2 linked regions of the Canis lupus familiaris genome follow. The protein of the gene in region 1 purifies or fractionates together with the protein of each later gene. This does not show direct contact. Links are inferred from orthologs where the notes say so. Each region holds a gene or a part of one and is shown in the gene's direction. Other genes may lie near its edges. The genes, in order: BNIP1 and NBAS.

What was found.
Region 2: the proteins of BNIP1 (region 1) and NBAS purify together in Homo sapiens (co-immunoprecipitation; 3 studies listed by BioGRID and IntAct, with this or other methods). This does not show direct contact. The link is inferred for Canis lupus familiaris from reciprocal best matches to the Homo sapiens genes BNIP1 and NBAS.

The regions. Positions count from the first base shown.
Region 1 is NC_049225.1:40,178,131-40,185,772, reverse strand, and holds part of BNIP1 (vesicle transport protein SEC20), read left to right. Parts: intron 1-1,862; coding exon 1,863-1,954; intron 1,955-4,753; coding exon 4,754-4,855; intron 4,856-5,637; coding exon 5,638-5,756; intron 5,757-5,967; coding exon of another isoform or gene 5,968-6,038; exon of another isoform or gene 6,039-6,067; intron 6,068-7,642. UniProt on the Homo sapiens protein: As part of a SNARE complex may be involved in endoplasmic reticulum membranes fusion and be required for the maintenance of endoplasmic reticulum organization. Also plays a role in apoptosis.
Region 2 is NC_049238.1:11,153,601-11,161,242, reverse strand, and holds part of NBAS (neuroblastoma-amplified sequence), read left to right. Parts: intron 1-1,659; coding exon 1,660-1,862; intron 1,863-3,859; coding exon 3,860-3,949; intron 3,950-7,642. UniProt on the Homo sapiens protein: Involved in Golgi-to-endoplasmic reticulum (ER) retrograde transport; the function is proposed to depend on its association in the NRZ complex which is believed to play a role in SNARE assembly at the ER. Required for normal embryonic development.

The DNA.
Region 1 (7,642 bases):
AGCACCAGAATATCCCTGACACCAATTAAGGACCTAAAAACACATGATTAGTGAATGAATAACCCCATCCCAGTTTTAATCTGCATTTCCTTAACATTTATACTAGGAAATGTATACAAGATTTCTTTTTGATGTTTTTAGCTCTTTACGTGAATGACTTCTTTGTGTATTTGCAACGAGATTGTGTGGTACTCAGAGACTTGGCCTCATATCCTTAGTATATAATCTCTGCATTGTAAATGTTGGGCATTGACTATGTATAAATACCTGTGTAAATGTCTTTGCGTATGTGGTGCTCCAACTGGAATTTGAGAACTATTTTACCCCTTTCTTTTCTTCTGGAACTATCTGGGTCTCTATGACAGAATTTCTAGGCAACCTTTTATGAGGAAACTATATACCTTTCTTCTTTCTTTCCTTCCTCCCTCCCTTCTAACCATACATCCATTCTTCTGTTCAATAGGTTTGGTGCCTAATAATGTTCTAGGCACAAAGAATATGTATAGTGAACATTAGGTGTAAAATCCTACTTTCCTGGAGTTCACAATCTGGCAAGGAATCTAGATTTTAAATGAATACTTAAGCAAGTAATAAACTGACTACATTTGCAAAATTTTTCCTTCATGTTTTTTTTCTCTCTGTCTCAGAATATCTGGGGCCATTAATTGGAAGTCATCTCTGAGCTGCTGAAATGGTGGATACAGACACATGTTCCTGACCAGCATGTGCAAATTAATATATAAATGAGTATATAAATAAATAAATTAGTATGTAAGTGAACTAATACATTGTTTTAGCATCAGCAGCTTGATTGAAACTGGAAATTGTTTTAATCTGCAAACAAAAAATACGACTTGATTCTTGAGGTATAATGACATCTTTAATTAGAGTCAATCTGATACTTGCATCATCTGAAGTTCTCAGGGGTCTCACACTGCTGAGCTTATGTCCATTGCCTGGTGTTTGGTTATTTGGGGCTGTGAGCACTCCTCTTTAGCAGACCTTATGTATGGGATTTTTGTGCAACCTGGACTGAAAGCAAGTCTCTTCAGAGGTTTTTGGATTTGCTTTTGCCATATCTCGTGGGATTATAAGTCTGGGAGCACATTTTATGTTAACTTCTCCTCATGGAGATTCTCAGACCTTTCAGAGAGAAGTGAATTATAACTCCAGACCAGTTTGAGGGTAGCTCCATGGATATACATTACATTCTCAGGAAATATTTTGTATCCCACTAGCCAACAAAAAAGGACAAGCTTCCATTCTGTCTGTGCTGGCTGACAGGCATGTACATGACAGGCATGGACACTGAAGGTGCATCCCTTTGTGGCTTCCAGCCTCAGATAGCTCAACACTTTATATGCCACCCGTATATGGGCTTTCAAACCTTCCAACTGTTTGCTACCAGTCAATAATGAAATAGGTACAGAGATTGAGAGTGAGCATTGAGACATGTGTAGCAGTTTGATATTTCCATGATGTCTCAAAGTAGAACCAGGGGCTCCTATTTAGTAATTTTTATTCCCTTTTCATTCCAGGTGGACCCCCTAGATGACAGGAGTGAATCTCCCATTGCAGAGCAGTTGAGCATCAGTCACAGGCTGACTGCTTTGGCTCTCAGTTCACTTCTCACTTTGGGGCCCTGGAGATTATCCTTACTTTCTTACACATCAGCTATATACTTATGGATGTTTGTTATATTTACCTGACATTCCTGAGTGTTCTCTGTTAGGAGGGTTTTCAAGTGCTATTGTATAACCTGCCTAGAAAGAGGAGTAGTTTGGTTTTTATATTGGCTTTTTTTTTTTTTTTTTTTTTTTGCTTTTAAAATCATTTTAATATAGATCTCTTTTCCCCCAAAGGAGCTTGAGCAGTCAGCTAAAGAGCAAGACAAAGAGTCAGAGAAGCAAGTTTTGCTTCAGGAAGTGGAGAATCACAAAAAGCAGATGCTCAGGTAGGTGGGGCCTGCGCTGGGTCACCTGCTCCCTGGGCGGCTTGTATAAAGGTTTGCCTAACAAACCTGGCTTAATGATTTAATTGTGTCATTTCTACACAAACTGAATGTCCTCTCTAGATCAGTAGTTCTCAAAGCAGGGACAAGCAGGGGTTGTTGGTAGGTCAAATTGTATATAGTTTACAAAAGCGTATTTACCATTATACTATATTTTATATTTTTAGGACAAAACCAAAAAATGATTGCTTTTGTAATACAACATCTTTTTCTGTAAGGAAATTGCTACTAGAAAAAGTTCCTACTTAAGATGGACCAAAATTTAGAAAGCTTTGAGTGGGACTTTATCTTAAAAAATGAAACAAAAAATGTAAATAAGATTATGCTATGTTAAACAAAGCGGTGGTTATCATTGTAGCAGTGGGCTAACCTTTGGTTATATAATTGAAGTATGCACTATTTCTGGATATTGGGGGGGGCTTTTCCAACAAAATTATCTGATGGCATGAAACAGCACCTGTCCCTTCACATGTGACTTGTATCATAATCATAAAGAGTGTTGTTGTGACAAAAATATTTAAGGCTCAAAAAAAAAAAAATTTAACGGCTCCATCAACTTTCCCCATCGTCTGGTAGCCAGGTCATTCTCTTTTGAAGCCCCTGTTAGTCATCATCCTCCTAGGTGTTGCTCTTTCTCCTTATTAATTTGCTCTAACTCTGTTGGATCTGTATGTCTCTCGTTTTGCCTTCAATGTGAGTAATTCTCCAGCATCATCCTTGGCAGGCAGCTACTGTGTTTATGACCCCCAGCCCTTAGGAGGAGACTGACAAACATGTGGGCATGGTAGAGGCTAGTATAAGTAGGGAGGGATGTGTGCATGGTCACCAGTGTTAAAGTGCTTGGCTCAGTCGGAGTACTTTGTGTCATGATGGCGTTTGCTTCCCTCAGCCACCAAGGATACTCACATTACAAACACTGAGTAAAGAGGACCCCTTGTATAAAGTAGAGTAAGTTACACCAGATAAAATGGGCTTAGTTAGCATGGCTAGGAGTTGAGAATGGCCATTCATGATGTAGGGTTACAGGGGAGAGAGAAAGCAGTAGATGAATACTTTGGCAGTTGTGTGTGAAAACAGTAGTTGCGCCTGCCTGGATTCTCGTGCTTATCACACCATTCAGCAAATATTTGTTTGTCTTTCTCCCCAGTAAATGTGAGCCCCTTGAGGGCAGCCACTATGGCTCATTCATCTCTGTGTCACAGGGCCCAGCAGAACTTCCTTGCTAACAATTAAAATATGTAATTGATTCTTTTAAAATATCAGGTGTGAAATGGCATAGCAGATGCTGTTCTGGTGACAGAGAGCTCGTTTTACATTTTAAGCACAGAGGTACTCTTAGAAAAATACCGTATCAGTTCACGTTTGACTTTGGTAAACATCTCAGGGGTTAGCACAATTGATGTGAACCAGCTGCCTAAGAGTTCTAGTGCTTGAGTTTGATTCTCCTAGGGGCCCAATTAACATTTTTATAGTTCATTGACAAAGGCTGCACTGCTAACCCCAGGGAGCTGTTCATCAAATTTGAGTTATCTCTCATGAGGGAGATCAGGTAAAGAATGTAAATAAATCACATCAAACTGCTAATACAGTGTGTTTATCTCGCTCATGATTGGTCTGAGTATGTAAAGAACAGCAAATCTTAAAGAAATATGGAGCAAAACCAAAGTGTTAAGTTACTATATTGTACACCTGAAAGTAATATTACACTCACTGTATGTTAACTAACTGGAATTTGTTTTTTGTTTTTTTTTTTAGATTTTAATTTATTTATTCATGAGAGAGACAGAGAGAGAGAGAGAGAGAGGCAGAGACATAGGCAGAGGGAGAAGCAGGCTCCACGCAGGAGCCTGATGTGGGACTCGGTCCCAGCACTCCAGGATCACGCCCTGACCCAAAGGCAGATGCTTTAACCGCTGAGCCACTCAGGAGTCCCACTAACTGGAATTTAAATGAAAACTTAGGGGCACCTGGATGGCTCAGTAGGCTGAACATCCAACCCTTGATTTTGGCTCAGGTCATGAGCTCAGGGTCCCGAGATCCAGCCCTGTGTTAGGCTCTGTGCTGAGCATGGAGCCTGCTTGAGATTTTTTCTCTCTCTCCCTGTGCCCCTCCCCATGCTCTTGCTCTCTCTCTCCTAAATAAATAAATAAATAAATAAATAAATAAATAAATAAATAAATAAATAAATAAATAAATAAAATTTTTTTAAATAAAAACTTAAATATTGAGGAAAACTGCCTTCCTATGATTTTTCTACTTCTCATAATATCTATTGATTGGCTAATGGGCCAGAGACTGTTGTTCTAGGTATTAGTGATCCAAAAATGAGTGAGATATGGTCCTCAAGAAATGGAACCAACTAGTACACAAGGTAGAACATGGTAAAATGGTAAAATGTTAGTGGTAACTGGACAGAACAGGGCCTCAAGTGCCCAAGGTGAGTTTGAAGTCTGAAGCCCTTGCCCGGCTGTAAGCACAGAAGTAAGTACTGTGGCCAGACTGCTCCCTCTGGCTGCCCTGGAGGGAAAGGGACAGCTACAGGCGGCTGGGCAGGGTGAGACCAGAGGTGTAGCCTAAGCTGGAGCAGTTGCCGGGGCAACCAAGAGGAGGAAATGGTGGGAGGCAGAGATGGATGACTCTGTAGGCCACTCTGGGAGGCCTTTCCCATCACTCCCTTGCCAGAAGGAAGAACTTCTGTTCTTTGATCTGACAGAAACTCATGCAAGACCCTTCTGATTCCAGCAATCAGACCTCATGGAGGAAGGCTAATCTCACTTGCAAAATTGCTATCGACAATCTAGAGAAAGCAGAACTTCTCCAGGGAGGAGACCTCTTAAGGCAAAGGTATCTGTCTTTTTGTCTTTCTGGGCCCTAATGATAGAACAGATAGCAATTGGCAAGGTGCAAAACCTGTGTAGGGAAGCCCTTCTTGTTTTCAGTGTAAAACTGGTAATTAATTTTATTATATAGGTAATATTTTTTAAAGTATGAAAGAAATACTGGCTTATTTGTAATAAATTGGTAAAATAAAGGTGTCGATGACAAAATGAACTATACTGTGATTGTGTTGTACACATTTTGATATATATTGTGTCCTCCCACCATTTTTTTTTTTTTACAGAGTCCTACCGTATATAAAACTTAGCGCCCTGCTCTTCTTCACATAGTATTATAGCACAAAGACTTGCTTGTTTTAGAAAACTCTTTAAACAAAGGTTCAAGAGTACTTAGTATTCCCTTGTATTGGCTGATCCCCCGTTTGTGTGTGTTTGCATTTCTAGTTTGTCAGTATTGTAAATAATACACAAGGGCACACCTTAGGACATAAGGCCTTGTCCACATTTTGGGTATTTCCTTTGTAGAGATTCCCAGGGATGACATTATTGGGCCAAAGGCATGAATGTTTCTAAGGCTCCTAATACTATTTCCAGATTGCCAGTTTGCATTTCTACTAGCAGTCTTTAGGAGTGTGGTGTCAGCATACCCTTGCTGGCATTGACTGTGATTATTGATACTTAAATATATATGCTATTTTGATAGATTAAAAAAATGGGATCGCATTTGAAGACGGGCGTTGTCTTATAGCCAGCTTTTGTTGACATGCCTATCCCACTCTGGACTTTTAGGAAAACCACCAAAGAGAGCCTGGCCCAGACATCCAGTGCCATCACGGAGAGCCTCATGGGGATCAGCAGAATGATGTCCCAGCAGGTCCAGCAGAGCGAGGAAGCCATGCAGACGCTAGGTAAAGCCAGATCAGGAGTTAGAAACTTCTCCCAGAGACTTCAGTTCCAGAGTCCTTGTCCTGGCACCTGCCACCATGCTCTCCCACCTTTGTCCCCATCCCCACCCTCATCCCCAAGCTTACTGACTTGTGTGGCTTCTCACTTCTTCAACACTGTGGTATTGCCCGGGGTGGGATATGTTGCTCTTACTTCTCTTTTTGGTTTTTATAGTTGTACTACAAGATCTGCACACCCCCGTCAAAATGTTTCCCCAGCAGAAGCATTCCCAAGGTCTCATGTGAAAAGCCGAGATCCCCAGGCCTTCTGGAGAGTAGGTGCTAGCAGGACTCGGGGAAGGGCCTGGGCATCTGTTTTTTTTCCTCTGGAGTTCTGTGGACCCATGTGGCCAGGCAGGTTGGGGAATCATTGCTTGGGAAGATGTTTTAGTGTATCGGCTGCTGGCTAGTCTGCAAGGGCCTCAGCTTATAATTAATACTCCCCAGTGTTATTTTTGCTGTAAGCTCCTTTTAAAAGATGCAATCAGAGGCCACAAAAGAAGGTGCTTGAGCATCTGGTTCTCTCCAGCAGCTTTCCCGTGGTGTCTCCCTTGTGATACAGAAGAGAATTGGCCCTTTTCAGGGTCCTCTGCATAAGAAAACAGAAGAGAGTGTTTACTCTCTGAAATAGTTTTGGAAGATTTATAAAGGGACAAAAGTGTCATGGTACGCAGATTGCACGAACCCACCACCCAACTTCAGCAGTTGTCAGTTCATGGCCAGTCTTGTTTCAGCTCCACCCATCCTGTGCCCCCATCTGGATTTCTTTGAAACAAATCACAGACATCATCTATAAATATTTCAATATGTCTCTTTAAAAGATAAGAGACTCTTGAAACAAAAAACAAACATAGCCAAACCACGATACCATTATCACCCCTAAAAAGAATCTGTAATTTTGAGCCACTTTTTTTTTTCAGTGCACTATTCAAACAGGCGGAAGCAAAAGGAGAACAGGCAGCTTGTCCCTAAGGCCAGCCCCTGTGTGTGAAACTTAACTGGGCATTTAGGCTCAAAACCAGCCAGTCACCTCCTCTACATACGTGCTGGGGGCAGAACTCAAGCCTTGGGATAGGCCTTGGAGAATGTGCAAAATAGGAGGCCACCTAGCCTTTGAGTTGAGGACTTTTCTGCTTTGATGCTGGTGACAGGATACCTCCCCCCCCACATATACATACATATCAGAAATAGATGATACAATTAAGTGGTGAGAAGGGTGCACAGATGCTGATGGCTTCTGGGGTGTTGAGGGCTGTTCTTGAGGCCCATTTTGTAGGAGAGAAAGCTGTTAAAGAAGAATGCAGTTGTTAACCCTTTCCTTACAGCTCTCAAATTCAGCTTGATTTAAAAGCCTACTAGGACTACAGTTTTTTTTTAAAAAGCATATTAGGGATATGATATCTGGAATTTGCTGGAATTGGGTGGACTAGTATGGGGACAGGAGTGCCAGGGAATTGGTGGTTCTTGGGTGTGGGTGTTGGGCACAAGGCATTTCACAATACTATTCTGTCTACTTTGGTGATGCTTTAAAATTCGCTATAATAGGAAGTTTAAAAAGAAAGACCTATTATATCTTTTTGAACAGGTTCTTAGGTTTTTGGAATGGCAGTAGGCATGGAGAAAGGGCCGAGAAAGATTTTTGTTATCTGAGTGTTTATTTTTCCCCCTCATCTGTCTTTATATTATAGATGCTCTGTTTCCTCTGATAATTTCTTTTTACTTACTTACTGACTTTCAATTTTGTGAAAAGGTAATATATATTATATGGTTAAGGAAAAAACCTCCAGGCCTGCATTTTCCAGTAGAAATAAAATGCGAGCTACATACTTAACTTTATTTTTTTATTTTTT
Region 2 (7,642 bases), on another chromosome or scaffold:
GTATTGTCTTTGAATGATTAGAATAACATATATGGGGCCAAGGGGATTATTAATGGAAATAGCTGTTTGTTTCAATGAGGCTATGATTTAAAGGTACCAGTAGCTGCTTGCAAATGCCATCAGTCAGACCATGGAGGTCCAGTGTAGTAGACTCTTCAGGTTCCTAGAGTGGACCTCATTTGATTTTGTTAGGGTACTTTTCATAGCAAGCACTGGAAATAACCTTCAGCCTCATACATTTGTCCCTTTTAAGTTCAGGCCATAATTTTAACCTCTTTAGTCATACACCCAGTGAAAGAAGATTCCCTGTGCCCCAGATTAACGCAGTCTAAACTAGATGCCTTTATTCTACAGTGCCTCAGTTTCCTCTTGTTCAGGAGGGATACTAGTAGCCACTTTGAACTCACAGCAATTTTATTTTATTAGAAGTTTCACGGGCCACCTGGGTGTCTGCCTTTGGTTTAGGACATGATCCTGAGGTCCTGGGATCAAGTCCCCATTAGGCTTCTCAGAGGGAGCCTGCTTCTCCCTCTGCCTGTGTCTCTGCCTCTCTCTGTCTCATGAATAAATAATAAAATATTAAAAAAAAAAAAAAAGAAATTTCACAGTGAGGAGAAGAGTAAAATGAACGGTCATGTGCCTGACTCACAGCTTCAACAATTATCAGAACGTGAACTATCTTATTCCATGCATACCCTCACCCCTTCCTGGGGATTATTTTAAAGAAAATCCGGGTCATCTTTTTACTTTGGCTGTAAATACTTCCATGTCTGTTTCTAAAGGATGCTTGCAAACACCACCACTACAACATGATCACAGTAAAAAATTATCAGGAATTCTTTAATATCATCAACTGACCAATTGTTTGGATTTTATATGGTTGTTCTGAAAGTCGAGAGGGTATATTCAAGATTACTTGAGAAACTGTACAGAACCTGGAAAGCATTCTTAACACTTAGTGACCATGTTTTGGTATGATGAAAACCAGTGGCTTGGGGCCTATTTCATATATTATTTGTCATATTCATTTTTACAGACAGTACCCAAGAGGGGCAGGCTGTGTGCCATGGAGGTGGGGAGATGTCTTTTGGATTCTGATCTTCCTTCCCCTAATTTCTAGCCGTGTGACTTTGGCCATGTTACTTTGCATCTTTGGTTTTTACCAATTTACTTTTTGGTAAAATGGAGCTAAGTAAAACTCCTTGCAGGATTTTAGGACCATTAAATTAGGTGACACGCTAGACTACCTGGGTTTGCGCAGTTGATACTCCTAGGTCTGAGCTGTCATGTGGTTGCAGCCCAGTAATAATAATAGAGAAACTTATACTTCAGTGAGCTCTACCTTGTGCCTGACATTGTCCTAGAGGCTTTTACACTCTCTCATTTAATGTTAACAATATCCCCTCTTCCCTAGAGTCTCTGTCCTCATCTTCATTTTGCAGACACTGAAGGCCTACAGACTAATACGTGATACAGCAAGGGTCTGTACTCAAGCCTCATGTCTCTGGAGCCCAAGCCCTTCCTAACCACTGCCTTTTCTTCAGTTTGTAGTTCTAGTATATTCGGTTTGAGAATCTTCTTAATATGCTTCACTGTGTACATGTAGACACACTGAATTCCTATTTGATAACTCAGGTGTTGTGTGCCATATCTTTGCAGGAAATACTGCAGAAATACGGTGACCTCTATGATCTGTCCCGATCAGAGGAAGGGAAACTTCGTGAGCAAGCTGTGGCCATGTGTCTAGATGGTCTGCCTCTAAGAATGATTCAGCAGCTGCTACAGGTGGCTGTGGGCCCTCTCGACATCTCGCCCAAGGATGTGGTGCAGGGTGCCATAAGGAAGATCATTTCTGCGTTGAGGTAAGCTAGAGAAGACTCGTTGGGAACCTGAGGTGATAGTGTGCCAATAGTAGCACTCGTTTTACAGTAATGAAGAAAAAAATACCATGTATGTAGAAGTGTTTTATAAACTGAAGCACTTTATAAAAGTGAAACATGATCATAAGATTTCTGAGTCTTCTGTCTTAAGATACCTTGAGAATGGAGAACCACGGACATACTTCACCACTGGTATTATATGTAACATGCCCTAAAGCTAACTTCCGGCTAGACCCTCTCCTTCCAGGGAAAGGCCAAAATGGCCTGTGAGGGAGGTAGCTGCATGTCAGGACATCGTGGGACCCCAGGTGGATGTTCTGCTCTTGCCTTTTCTACTTCCACTTCTTTGTAGAGGCTGCAAAATGGTGCCCAGAAGCTCTTCTTGAAATACACAAAGCAAGGTTAATCATATACTGAAGAAGTTAGACATCTGTTAAGTGTCTTAGAGTTTTATTTACCTGCAGTTAATGGCGTGGAACCAACCACTGAGAAGTGCTGGCTTTCTGTCAGTGTGCCCGTGTCTTCGTGGGAGGATTGGGGACGAGGGGGAAAGCCAAGCTCCAAAAGAGAATGAGGCATCAAGTGCTTTCTGTGAATAATGCAATTAGGCCGCAAGATTTGGTTGTGTTTAATGTATTCTCCTTTTAAACCTGCTTTGTAATTCTGCATTGCTCTTGAGGAACTTTTTGATTAAATGCATGTCAGTTTTCCACAGCTGAACTGAAATCAAATGAGCCTTTATCAGTTTAATTACCTCAGCCTCATACAGTTTTCACCTTAATGATCTGCGGTATCTGGTAATTCTGAAGAGAGAGAGGGAGAAATAAAATATCATAACATTTTTTAAGAAATAACAAATGTCAAATTAATAATGCTTTGTTCTATTATTAGCCTATTATGTTTTGGTGGTGGTGGCTGTAAAAGCCACCCACTTTCCTCTTTCAGAGGATGACACTTGTTGGTTGTATTTTGCATCTTTTGATTTATGCTATCTTATTACTGTTCCTTGAATCAAGATTTAGATGAGCCTCACCAAAACAAACATTTTGAAAAATGAGTGCTTTGATGAATTTAGCTTATTTCCTAAAAATTACACATTGTCATGAATAATTAAAATATGTGATATTTTTACATTTATAAAATTCTGACATAAATTATACTTCTCTCTCCTTCCCTGTGCCCAGTTCCACTTGTAAAGACTTGGTTCTTACCTAATAAATATTATGCTTAGCACACAGAAGACATTCAATAAATGTGAATTAAATCTTTCTGCAGTGGGAGGAAAGGGAACTTGAGTTCAGCTACCACCTTTTCAAAGGAAAAGAAATTGCTATTGACAGCATCCATAGCATTTTCTTTTTAGAAAGTTAGTAAAATTTAGTAGGTATAAAATAACAAAGGCACATAAAGAACTGAATCCACCAGTTGATTTAAATCACATCACTTAAATTATTCAGAAAACTCACCTAAAACTTCTTTTCTCCTGTTGTTTTTTCAAAATCCAGTTAAGTCCTAGACATACACATTTGTAAAACGGGCATAATAATAGTACCTATCTTGTAGACTATTCGAAACTAAATGGTAGAATGTGTGTAAAGCACTCAGCAGTGCCTTGGACCTGGTAAGTACCACGTAAATATTTGGGTTTTATTATTTTTTTTTTAAATCCAGCTGGAGAATTTAGATGATAATATATTTAATGCTTAAAATAGCTCATCTATCTAATGTTCATGGAATGTTTTTTAAATGACGTAATGCAAGTAGATTTTATTTTCTTGATAGGAAAACCAGCATATACTAGATTATGAGCTCCTTCAGGGCAGAAGAGGTTTCACTTCTCTATCCTTAGCGCTCGCAGAGGATATGCGTTGGCAGCTTCTCCAGCCAGAACCCAGTAGGGTGCTTGTGAGCGTGAACACCACGCTGCTTTCTGAGGCCGAGCCCTGTTCTGAATCAGTCCTCTCTCTCTCCCTTCACAGTGGAGGTAGTGCTGACCTCGGTGGGTCGGGGGACCCCCTCCAGGTCCTGGAAGGTGTTGTTGCGGCCGTCCATGCCAGCGTGGACAAGGGGTAAGCCTAGCATGGTGTGTGTATCTCACCTCGTGACACTCCTCAGAATCTCTGAATCACTTTAACATCACTGTTTATGAAACTGCCAAGGCATTCTGGAAGGAAGAGCGGAGGACTTTCCGCGTCACTAGAGAGGCTCTGCATCTGGACACGGGGTTACTGCAGCTGTCCTCTTGCCCCGTCAGCTCTGGCGGTCACTCCCTTCTCTCCAGAGCCTTGTTTGCCGGGCAGAGTGTGGTCTCCTCTCACTCATTCTGCATGAGGCCAGGAGAGAACTACTTGGAGCTTCCTTAGGAGAGAAAGGATTCACACCTCAGGAGGTTAGCTGGACTGATTAAGTCTGCAGACTTTCTAGAATGTATGTATCGTCTTTTTTGAAAGCTTTCTATGCATTAGGTCCGTCTTGCCCGAGGACTATGAGTATACAAGCTTTATAAGTCTTGAAAGGTGTGTGTCTCTAATGCCATTTTTAGAAAGAATTTTTCATTCGGGTGCAGTGGTAGTGATCGGAAGAACAGCAACAAGTTGGTGGTTCTGTGTTTGCCAGAGCTTAACATCTTTCATATGTCTGATATCCATGTCATCCCTGTAAGGCCTTGCCCCAATTTTCTTACCTATTTTATTTTTTAAAAATAATCACTACACCCAATGTAGGACTGGAATACATGAGCCTGAGATCGAGTCACATGCTCTACCGACTGAGCCAGCCAGGCACCCCTGTTTTCTTTTTTTAAGTGGGAAATATGATATAATAATAATGAAAAAATATTTTTGAAAATGCCCCATAGTTCATTCAGTAATATAATTGTTTTCATTTGCATATTACCTTCTAGTTATTGTGCAGGTACAGATAGATTTTTTTTTCAGATAGATTTTTATACAGCTTCAATCACAATGTGTAAACACGGAATAGTCTTCTTTACTTGCTACTGTAACTCTTCCCATTTATCTTTGTAGATTTCCTCATGATTATTTCTGATGGTTGTATATGTTGTTGCTGTTTTTAGAGGAAGCCTTGCCAGGAGTCATAGGCCTAGGACATGGAGCCAGGATCCCAGCCAGGCTCTGAATCATAATTTAGCGCTCAGATGCCTGTATAGCGTATTTTTGTGTGTTGCTTTGTGCCCGAGGCTTGAGTGGAGGAAACTAGGACTGGCCATCTCGGTGAATATGGGACAGCATTGCAGCGAGGCCCCTCTACCTAGCCTCGTGCCTTGCACCATTTTTCTAAACCCCTTTGCTTTGGGGTCTTGAAGTAGTAAGGAAGCTAAATTACACCTCTTATTCGAAAGAGAAATGAAATGATCTATGTGTTTACTGTGGGCCATACTCTGTTGCTGCATCACGAGGAGTTAGATACGAGGAAGAAGTAGCCTCCCACTGGAGCAGCTCAGTCTTGCAGGGGAGCCAAGCCTTCCTGTTGCTCTAATTACCATATTACCCAGGGGTGAGTGCAGTACAGAGAGCGAGGAGGGAGCACTTAATCGTCCTGGAAGTCAGGGCAGGATTCGCATGGGCGACATTGGTCCTGGTCTATGAAATGTGCGTCTGTGAGCAGGAGGTGGGAAATGGTACCCCAGGCTGAGGAAGCCGCCTGCACCACTGCGGATGCAGCAGGTAGCATAGCAGGCAGGGACACTGCGTGGGGAATCCCGAGCCACCTTCCAGGGGTGTGGCCAGCATCTGCCATTCCGGTCAGAGCCCATCAGTTGCTTCTCTGCCTGCCACTCCCCAGTGAGCTGCTGTCAGAGCACAGCTGCTTTCAGGTAAGGCCGACCTGGAGCCTGGCATCATAGGATGACAGGATCAGGATAGGCAATAAGCCCCTTCCAGTGGAGACATCTTAAAAAGATTACAAGGTAGTATTCTTAGTGAATTTCCAGCCAAATATACAGATGAATCCAACCTGGGTTTCTTACATACAGACTTTTTTTTTTTAAGCTTTGTTTTCCAAAGAGGAAGACATTGGGGAATGGAGAAACAGAGCAAGATCGTACTTTTTATTCTAGAGACACAGCATAAAAGTCTTCTTAACAGAGAAACTTCAGTGAACTTTTCTTTTCTTTTCTTTTCTTTTCTTTTCTTTTCTTTTCTTTTCTTTTCTTTTCTTTTCTTTTCTTTCTTTTCTTTTCTTTTCTTTTCTTTTCTTTCTTTTCTTTTCTTTTCTTTTCTTTCTCTTCTTCTTTTCTTTGCTTCTTTCTTTCTTTCTTTCTTTCTTTCTTTCTTTCTTTCTTTCTTTCTTTCTTTCTTAAAAAAGAAAAGGAAGAAAGTCAACGTCGTAACTTTCATTTCTGGCAAGTCTTTTTTTTTTTTTTTGGCAAGTCTTTTTTGAATCCAACATGGTTACACCTAAATCCTTGGCTTCCATTTCTCTTCCCAAAACTATGTGTGGCAGATCCCATAAGGGTGTCACTCTCCTTCCCAGGTAGCCCCCAGTGGGGTCTTTGGAATGACATGGGATTCAGACCCTTTGAAAGTAACCCTCTCAGTCACTCATTACACGACCTGATAGGACTACCTAACCTCCAGGAGGCCATGCTAGGCCTGTGTGTCACCTTCACCTTTGGGGGCATACCCAGCCTCCCTCAGTGCCAACCTCAAAACTTCACCATCCACTCCCCTCCGTGACATCTGTTTGGATAGTAAATCCCCTATCTTGGCGCACATTGTCCACTATCACACACATTGACACGCTCTTAGGTTAGGCCTCCATCAACCCATAGTGGTCCTGGCAGGGAAACTGCATGGAAAAGTAGGAAGTTGAGTGGGTGTATTCATGGCTACCACCAAGTGTTTGGTTTTGCACCTAATTTTTAGAGTTTATGTCATTATCAGTATGGCCTCCTTTCACTTTTTTCTTTCTAAGATTTTGTTTCAGAGGGGTGGGAGGGGCAGAGAGAGAGGGAGAAGCAGACTCCCCTGCAGAGCAGGGAGCCCAACCCAGGCTCCATCCCAGGACTCTAGATCATGACCTGAGCCAAAAGCAAGATGCTTAGCAACTGAGTCACTCAGGTGCCTCCTCCTTTGATTTTTTTATATTCGTACAAGTATGATCTGCCTTTGAGCTGCAGCTTCTGACCATTCGTAAAGCCCCCCGTCCCTCCTCTTCTACCTCTGCTGTCAGCCGCACACAACCACAGCACCCAGACAGGTCACCAGTACCGTGTGTGGACAGACAGGCTGCCTTTCTAGTGTAACCACATTCTTGCCTCCAGCCATCAGGGTTAAGTATTGTCAAGATTTGAAGTAGTGGAAAAAATCTTTTATACCATGTACGATTAAAGATGAGATTAAGGTAATTAAGTGTTGAGAAGCTTGTGCACATAAATTTAACTTTATGAGTGTGTTTTCTCCCATGATTTGTGTATGTCTATAACATATTATAAGAATACCTAAATTTCCTGTCTGTGTTTTGATTAGATTGCTTAAGAAAAAAGGGTTGAAAAACATTCAATAGCTAAAATAATAATTTTCTAAAATAATACACTTGTTAAACCTGGAACTAAGAAAATATGCATTTAGAAACACAAAAGTAATGAATATATGACTTAGTGCCGAGATCTTCGAAGTGGCTGTTCAGCAACCCACTTAATCCTCACAACAGCCCTCTTATGGTGTTATTATTACCTCCATTTCAAATTAGGAAATGATGCCCAGACAGGTTTTATAATGTGTGTCCGGGTCAGCCAGATA